Nothobranchius furzeri: one gene and its partner. The protein of the gene in region 1 interacts with the protein of each later gene in a biochemical or structural test. Links are inferred from orthologs where the notes say so. Each region holds a gene or a part of one and is shown in the gene's direction. Other genes may lie near its edges.

Evidence for each region.
Region 2: the proteins of raf1a (region 1) and phb form a complex in vitro, tested with the Homo sapiens proteins (2 studies listed by BioGRID). The link is inferred for Nothobranchius furzeri from reciprocal best matches to the Homo sapiens genes RAF1 and PHB1.

The regions. Positions count from the first base shown.
Region 1 is NC_091755.1:58,343,073-58,347,186, forward strand, and holds the start of raf1a (raf-1 proto-oncogene, serine/threonine kinase a), read left to right. Parts: upstream 1-1,272; 5' UTR 1,273-1,503; coding exon 1,504-1,755; intron 1,756-1,856; coding exon 1,857-1,969; intron 1,970-2,065; coding exon 2,066-2,168; intron 2,169-2,254; coding exon 2,255-2,412; intron 2,413-2,837; coding exon 2,838-2,927; intron 2,928-3,946; coding exon 3,947-4,100; intron 4,101-4,114. UniProt on the Homo sapiens protein: Serine/threonine-protein kinase that acts as a regulatory link between the membrane-associated Ras GTPases and the MAPK/ERK cascade, and this critical regulatory link functions as a switch determining cell fate decisions including proliferation, differentiation, apoptosis, survival and oncogenic transformation.
Region 2 is NC_091745.1:13,725,528-13,729,772, reverse strand, and holds the start of phb (prohibitin 1), read left to right. Parts: upstream 1-1,398; 5' UTR 1,399-1,526; intron 1,527-2,035; 5' UTR 2,036-2,044; coding exon 2,045-2,129; intron 2,130-2,442; coding exon 2,443-2,604; intron 2,605-4,245.

The DNA.
Region 1 (4,114 bases):
ATCGGACTTGTACTTTCAGTGTTTTTTCTGCATCAGGGAGAAAATCCACCGTCGTGTCACTTTGAAGGACCGACGGATTTCTCGCTTTTGTCACGTCCGGAAGACAAAACCTTGTTTTCCGTTGCTTTGGATGAATTTTTTCCAAGAGCCACCTGTGACCTTTATGTTTTACAGTAACTGAACTGACTTTCTGCGTTTACAGGAGCGTTTGGGACTAGTCGAGGACTCGCTTTTGGTCTTTTTTCCCACTTTTCTTTGAATGCGTTGCAGATATGATGATGTCACCGACGCCACTTTTTCCTAAAGTTATGGCGGAGCACAACTTTTTGAACTTCTCTTGGTAAGCATGTACGATCTACCGGTCCTAGCACTTCACTACTATTGATACACGCTTGAAAGCCGAACTTTTAGTGTTAAAACCGGTTCTTTTTCAGACACATTAACACAAAATACAGGTTAAACCATTAAAAACCGAGCAGAAGTTCAGTTCGCTGTTTCAGGGAGGGCCTGCTGGCTGCTTCGCTGTTTTTGGTGAAACTGTCGAGCTTTATTTAAAAACACACTCGCTGCTACCCTCAACGTATCATTTTAAAGCACGAGAAAACCCACACGAGTATCCCAAATAGCTGTTTGTCCCTTGTTTGGTTTGAATGCTACACACTAGCAGCATTCATGCTAACCTGCTACATGTCAAAATCACATATGTGGACGTTTGATGAAGCAGCCATGTCGTTGTTGTAAACTGAACTCATGCTTGGGATGAATCAAGCGTTTGCAACAAATCTCCAGCGTTTAGCCTGTCTGCAGCAGATGTGCATTAACACAAGTACAGCAGACATGATAACAACACGAGTGTCTTCAGGGTCAGCAGCCTCCTGTATAAACCTGCAGGGTGGTGGTAAACACGTGAATGTCAAGAATAAACAAAAACCTTTTGGTTGTTTACATTAAGCTCAGTAGTTTGTGATGGAAACAATCCAGGTGAGTGGGTTTATTTGATGGCCTGGCCTTTTGTTTTCAGGAAACACATTTTGCATGAAATAGTCAGTTTAGCTCAGCTCATTGTTTTCTTCTTCTGGTTTATTAGCATATATAGGCCACACGCGACTCTTTTTGCGTGTTATAAACTTCCAGCCGAGACAAAAAGACCCGCAGAAACACACAACTCTGCAGTTTGGATTAGCTCAGTGTTTCTGGCTTTTCTCAGTAATTAATATGTTTTTATGCCACAATCCCCACATGCGATCTCTATTTAAAGGTTGCTGGAGGTGAGATTAAGTTTTGAGATTAAACCTTACAGCGCTCTAACCCAAATCTCATGTTTTGCCACTTTTCCCCCCCTGGTGTTTTAATCAACCGTGTCCAGGCCAGCAGATGCTGTTTCTCATTGTCAGCATAAACATTGTGTCTGTATGCCCCAAAACATGCATTTCTGCAGCTTTTGTGTTCTAGTTAAGAGAGCCAGTAAATGAGGAATGCACCCACAGAGATGGATGAGATCCAATGTGTTCCTTTGTGATCTGCATAGATTGTTGTGAGTATTTAGTTTTACTGATGGAGCACCTTCAAGGAGCGTGGAGAACCCTGAGTAACGGCTTTGGAATGAAGGACTCTGCGTTTGAGGGTCCCTGCCTTTCCCCGACTATGGTCCAGGGCTTTCCCCACCAGCGACGCTCCTCAGATGACAGCAAGGTGCCAGACTCGAAGGCTAGTAGCACAATCCGTGTCTACCTCCCAAACCAGCAACGCACGGTGGTGAGTTAGTTCTGCATTAGGAAACGCGTTTAGAGTTTCCACATTTAACACGGCGACCTCTGAATTCAGATCATAATTATTTGTAATTTCCCGTGTGTCAGGTAAACGTGCGACCAGGTTTGACTTTGTACACGTGTCTGATTAAAGCCCTGAAGGTGCGAGGGCTGCAGCCTCAGTGCTGCGCCGTCTTCAAGCTGCACCCAGGTCAGAGAAGGTGAGTTCAGGGTTTTTGGACAATTGTAACCAGAAGTAAGAAGATCACATGCTTATGTTTCTCCCCCTTTATTTCTACGGTTTGTTTTCCAACCAGTAGAAAATCTCGGATGGACTGGAACACTGACTCCACCTCTCTAATTGGGGAAGAGCTGCTGGTCGAGGTTTTAGATCACGTTCCGCTGACGACCCATAATTTTGTAAGCACCCAAGTCCTCTGCAGCGCCCTCACCTCCGCGTCCAGCGGCTAAATCAACACGTTCAAAATGCTTTCTGTCATTTCCAGGCTCGGAAGACCTATCTTAAGCTAGCCTTCTGCGATATTTGCCAGAAGTTTCTTTTAAATGGTTTCCGCTGTCAAACATGTGGCTACAAATTCCACGAACACTGTAGCACCAAAGTGCCCACGATGTGTGTGGACTGGAGCAACATCAGACAGCTCCTGTAAGTATCTGAGAGGGGTCTCTTATTATAAAAACAACTTTTGATTAAATGGGGGAAAATGGTGACATGGTGAAGCACAACATTTTTAACAAACAAATTACAAAAAAATACACCAATTAAAATAAGCAAGTCAGCACACGCACAGTTCGTTTATCTCCCTCGGGCTTTATAATTTGATTTATATTAGAAATGAGCTCACCCAAACTTTCTGCAAAGATGAACAGTAGAAGGAAGCTCTGCTGATATCCCAGTTTGCATAGGGGTGTGCTCATTTGCATCCTGGCACTGCCAAAAAGGCCGTTTTGTTTCATTTTGCATGCAGGCTGTAGATGAACAGTAATTCTGTAAAGATTAGTGTCATTTGCACACTGCTCTGTTGTAAACACACCCTCCTCAGGACTTTAGTCTCTTGTTTCTGTCGGCAGGTTGTGTCCGGTCCCCGGGGAGAGCGGCACCCCGTCACTGCCGCCGCTCACCTCTCGACGGATGAGAGAGTCTCTGTCACGGTTTCCAAGGTGACGTTGCTTCTCTCTACTTATTCATCACAAACCCTCTGCAGAAGGATAAAACAAGGTTTTATTATGCAGGTGAAACTGGAACAATACTTCAGAATATGGTCCATTTATTTATGTAATCCAGATTAGACTGAGAGGCCATCTAAAGGCTCAGGAAAACCTTTGCAGGTGTTTCAAGTTGAATTACTGACATAAATGAACTTTTGCACTGTTATAAGTTTAATTACCTCCAGATTAACATCAAGCTGTTGTAGACTAGATTACAGATTAGATGTTATTCGGCTCACATGTGGTCAAGTTTGGACTTTTTTAGGATCATATTTTAATTGTGTTGTATGTGTTTAAAAGGCTGTCTTTGCTTCAGGGAAGCTTATCAGTGGAAGGAATGATGTAACGCCGGGTGTGAAAAACAGCCTGTTGTTTTGATGGCTGATAAAGTGGTTTAAAAAAAACACCCAGGGTTGCTAAATTGGCTGTCGCTGCAAGTTGTTCCTTGCAGAAAAATGCGAAATGCTCGACAGGAATATTAATTCCTGTTGTCTAAAGCGGGACTGCTCATGAAGAACACCAAGGCGAGGTTCTGCTCAAAAACACAAACAGCCGGTTCCTCTGCGCCGCTTCTGGACGATTTCTCTGCAGATCCGAGAGCGGCTTTGCGCTGCTGTAGGATTAGCATATCTGGCTGGAAGGTTTTGTGCTCTTTAACCGATCTGGACACAAAGCCGCTCAGCCACACACGGCTAAAGAGGAAGACCAGTAACAAATACGAGCCCACTAGCTACTTCCCTTAAACAATGTAGTTTCACTCTTTGCTGTTTACCACACAGCTAAGGCATGTAATGGCTTCTGGTGCTGAATGTGTGGCAGTAGTCCAACGTAAACAAGGGTGCTTGACTGAGGAGAGTTAATGAGGCCACCTCACCCACACCCACACCCTCACCCGAAGATGTGGCCGACAGAAGCATCCACTGCTGGTTTGGTCGTTTTTAGCTAAAGGCTCGATTGTCATCCTGTCACAGCTCAGCCCACCGAAATTCCACCCCCCACGCCTTCAACTACGCCACATCGTACCAACCCACAGGCGGCGGTCTCTCCCAACGGCAGCGCTCCACCTCCACGCCCAACGTCCACATGGTCAGCACCGCCCTGCCCGTGGACAGCACCACCATCGAGGTAACAAGTTCTGG
Region 2 (4,245 bases), on another chromosome or scaffold:
TTTGTTGCTCAAACACGAGAAAAAAAAAGCCCGAACAAGGCGAGGGTTTACAGCTCCATGTTATCTGAGAGCGAGAAGAGAAGCCACATTGTTGAGACGAGAATCAAGGAAGTGAATAAATCAGGCACGTCTGGTCCGCCGCAGCGCTAAAGCCAACACGATTATATGTGAAGGGAAGATTTAATTCTACTGTAATCATTACTGACCTTCAGAGTTTCACGCTGGCTTCTGTTTACTCGCTAATATTCAAAGACCGTCACTTTTTACGTGAAGAGGAAGAAAAGTGAAACTAACCAGATGTCGTAACGGTTTCATTCCGCCAGGGGGCGGGCATGGACGTGTGTGAAACGGTGAATAATGTAATAAAATTAAAAATTAAATTAAATTAAATCATATTGCTCTGCTTTTTATCTAGATAAAGGCACAATCTACAGATAATGTTTAACTTCCAGTCTTCCTACAGATCTTTAATTTTTTCAAAGAAACTCCTAAAATCTTCTATGTGAAATATTCCTTTAATCTAGCTAGTGAAAAGTGTGTAGAGGTTGGAGGAACATAGCTCAAAACTTTAGATTCAAACCTTTTAAATCACTTACCTGGTTCAATATTTTTAAAAGTGAAGTTAATAACCATATTGCTATTTCAGTTGGATGGAAACTTTTTATTTCACCACTAAGAAATTTGATTGAATACTTTGTGTTTAGCTCGACAACATCAGCTAATAGGTTGGTCAAATTATTGATGATCACATTTAAACAACAATGCATACTGACCAAAGATCTGGCCCAAGCCAGGACCAAACTACCAATATGAAAGAAGCGGCAATGGCCCCGTATAAAACCAACAGTATTGTGAAATCCCTTCCTAAAATCTAGAAACCAAAATAAATGACTTGCCCACAGCAAGAGTTTTTGGGTGAAATGCAAATTGATTTTGCCAGCATAATGTTATTTTTTTAATCTCATTGTCATTTACAGGTGAAACTAAAAAAATGGATATCAAGCACAAGTTCATTTAATTCAGTAATCTAACTCAACAGGAAAAACGAATGTATAAAGTAGACTCATTAAATGCAAAGCAAGATATTTCAAGCCTTTATTTGTTATCATTGTTGTGATTATGGCTTACAACTTATGAAAACCCTAAATTCAAAATCTCAGGTTCAATAGTCTTGGCTAAAAGTGTCTCACTCTAATCAGCTAATTATTTCAATATACCTGCAAAATGGTTCCAGAGTATTTAAATTGTATCTCCATCTAAGTTTAAGAACTGAAATAAACGGACTTTCTAATATTCTAATATATCCAGTTCACCTGTATTTTGTGAGTTTGAAGTGGGGAGCACTCATATGAACTACCAGTAGATGGCAGCCTTGAACGTTCTCTCAAATTGAAACGCTTGTGAACTCTCATTCAGCGAGGCAGAGTTTCGTCCAATCAGATGACTCGTTGCGGCATGCAAGCGCGCAGGCGCATTGGATTTCATGCGCTCTGTAGTGTCCGGTGGAGGTCACAGCGGAAACCGAGGTGAGTTACATGTGTTATACATTAGTTTAGAAGCGTTGATACAGTATAGAAGCGTTGATACAGTAAGAGGTATACATTTATATTTTCCTCTTTGTGCTACCAAACTATTAATGTGACAACGTGATATCTGTCTAGCGCGAGTTATCCGGCTGCATCATGTTCTTTAGAGCTAACACGCGTTTAATCACGCAGCGTGCTGTTAGTTTTATCCACATACATTTCTTTAACATATTTAAAATAACACTTCCCCTTCCGTAATCTGTCACATTAGGTGCTCGGTGTAGTCTGAACGAATTATGTGAATTTATTTTGTCTCAGATCACGGCTAGCTGCTAAGCTAACTCGTTGCTAGCTACCACTCAGCCGTGACAATCTTATCAAGGTTGTTCCTGGAGAAGAGGGATTAAAGTGGGCCTTTCAAGGATCCTTGTTTAGGCTTAAGTTGTTTATTGTACAATGAGTGAGTGAAGTCGGTGTTTTAGGTCTCAAACGCTTTTCGTTGTCTGCAGGTTGCTGTCATGGCCAAGTTATTTGAGTCCATTGGGAAGTTGGGGATTGCCCTCGCTATCGGTGGAGGTGTTGTGAACTCCGCCCTCTTTAATGGTGAGTAGTCAACACTTCCACATTAACACGAATGTTATTTAGTTTAGGATTTGATGGTTTAGTGTTTAAAAAGCAACGTGATTACTGCATGGTGTTGTTAGATCATGCAGAAATAAGATTGCATCACCATTGGCGATGAATGGTGGTCACTTGTGCTGATATCCCTGCATTCAATAAATGATAAAACTTTACAACATTTTTATTGATAAAAATCTGCATTGTTATCTGAAGGGAGAATCATATTTTGCATTTAAGTATTTTGTGACAAAGGTTTGAAAATATGCACGCTACAGTAAGTTGACTCTGTCTGCAGTTGACGCAGGGCACCAGGCTGTCATATTTGACAGGTTCCGGGGTGTTCAAGACGCAGTCGTTGGTGAAGGAACCCACTTCCTCATCCCCTGGGTTCAGAAGCCTATTATCTTTGATTGCAGATCCCGTCCACGCAATGTACCTGTCATCACAGGCAGCAAAGGTACCTCTTAAAGCACTTGTGGGCTCTGCCCTTGAGCTTGTTTGCCAAGCAGTGTCTGGTTATGACCTCTTTTTGGCTCCATTACTGGATATCTTTTAAAATAAACTATTCAAATTTTTTGTATGATTTTTTTGAGCCTTTAAAAATACCATTCAATAGGGGTGTCCTGGTTGTAAATATTTTGTCCCTGATACCAACCTGAGTTGATTAAGTATATGCCTAAATCAGGGATAACGAATCCTGGGCCTCAAGGTCTGCTGTCTGGCGTGTTTTAGTTGTTTCTCTGCTCCAATATGCCAGATTCAATGGCTGAGTCACCTTTACAGCAGCTCATGAAGCTCTGCAGAAGCCTGTCAGTCACCCACTGATTAAAATCAGGTGTGTTGAAGCAGTGATACAACTAAAAACATGCTGGATAAACAGACCTCTGGGACAGCATTGGTTATCCCTGGCCTATAAAGCCTAGTTTATACTTCTGTAAGCAAGTTTGCACTTGCGCTCGCTCAGACAGACATTTTCCTTTTGTACTTCTCTGTTGGTGTCAGTGTTGTCAAGCAATTCTTCTCCAGAACAGCAGAGGGCGTAGCGCTTTTCTGGGGTATCCTGCCATCATTGGAGTTGCGGTTTTAGTATGTTGACGTTGTGTTTATGTATTTCAGGAACTTTTTTAAAAGTTGATGTTAGTGCAGGGAAACCGTGTATAAAAACAAGGGTTGGCTTTTTACTAAACACTTCTGATCTGTACTTTTGTGTAACGTTTACTGTGAGAAAGCAACTGAATAATCCAGCATTATTTGTCAGGTTCTCACCCATGTTTGCTAGATGATGGGTGAATTTAGAACATACAAACCCACTAACTCCAGGAAGCTTCTTTTGGAACTCCAGGAAGCATATTATTCACCTTGAATTGGAGTAGGGCAAGGTGATGAATCAGTATTTAAAAAATATCAATTTCAAACAAGAAACAAGATGATTCTGTATTGTTTATATCGATATAAATCTAAAATCAGTGTGTTTCTAGAGTTGGCAGGCTCAGCCCTCTGCTAGCTTGCTCCATTTCTAAGTGGCCATTTCATGCATCATCAGGAAACCTCTAGGTCAATATCCTGCCCTAATCATTGCATTTGGCTTTGTGGTTAGGGCTGCTCGATTATGGCAAAAATAATAATCACGATTATGGTGACTGAAATTGAGATCACGATTATTTAGGACAATTTTTCAATTTATGTTGATTTTATTTGTTTTTATTCAGTCATAAAATTGCTCAGGGCACAATCAGGACAAAAATAAGAAACAAGATGATCACTAAAATAACTCCTGATTCCCAGTATAAAAAGACCAATATACTTACAGCTCATAGTTTATGACCCAAGGGCTCTAGACCTTGGTTTAACTCATTTAAGTCTAACCAGTACAGACCCAAATACCAATATCTTGCATATACTGACAGCAAGAATTATACAGTGGCATTTATAACAAATAAATGCAAATAAATTGATGTTCACAAAATGTTACATAATATGTATTTAGTCGTGTCAAGGTGCTGTAGGAGAGTGCTCTAGCACCGTGTCCTCAGAGAGATTAGTTATTATTTATCAGCGTGAGGAACTTATTTCTACCTTATTGATAAACTATATATTT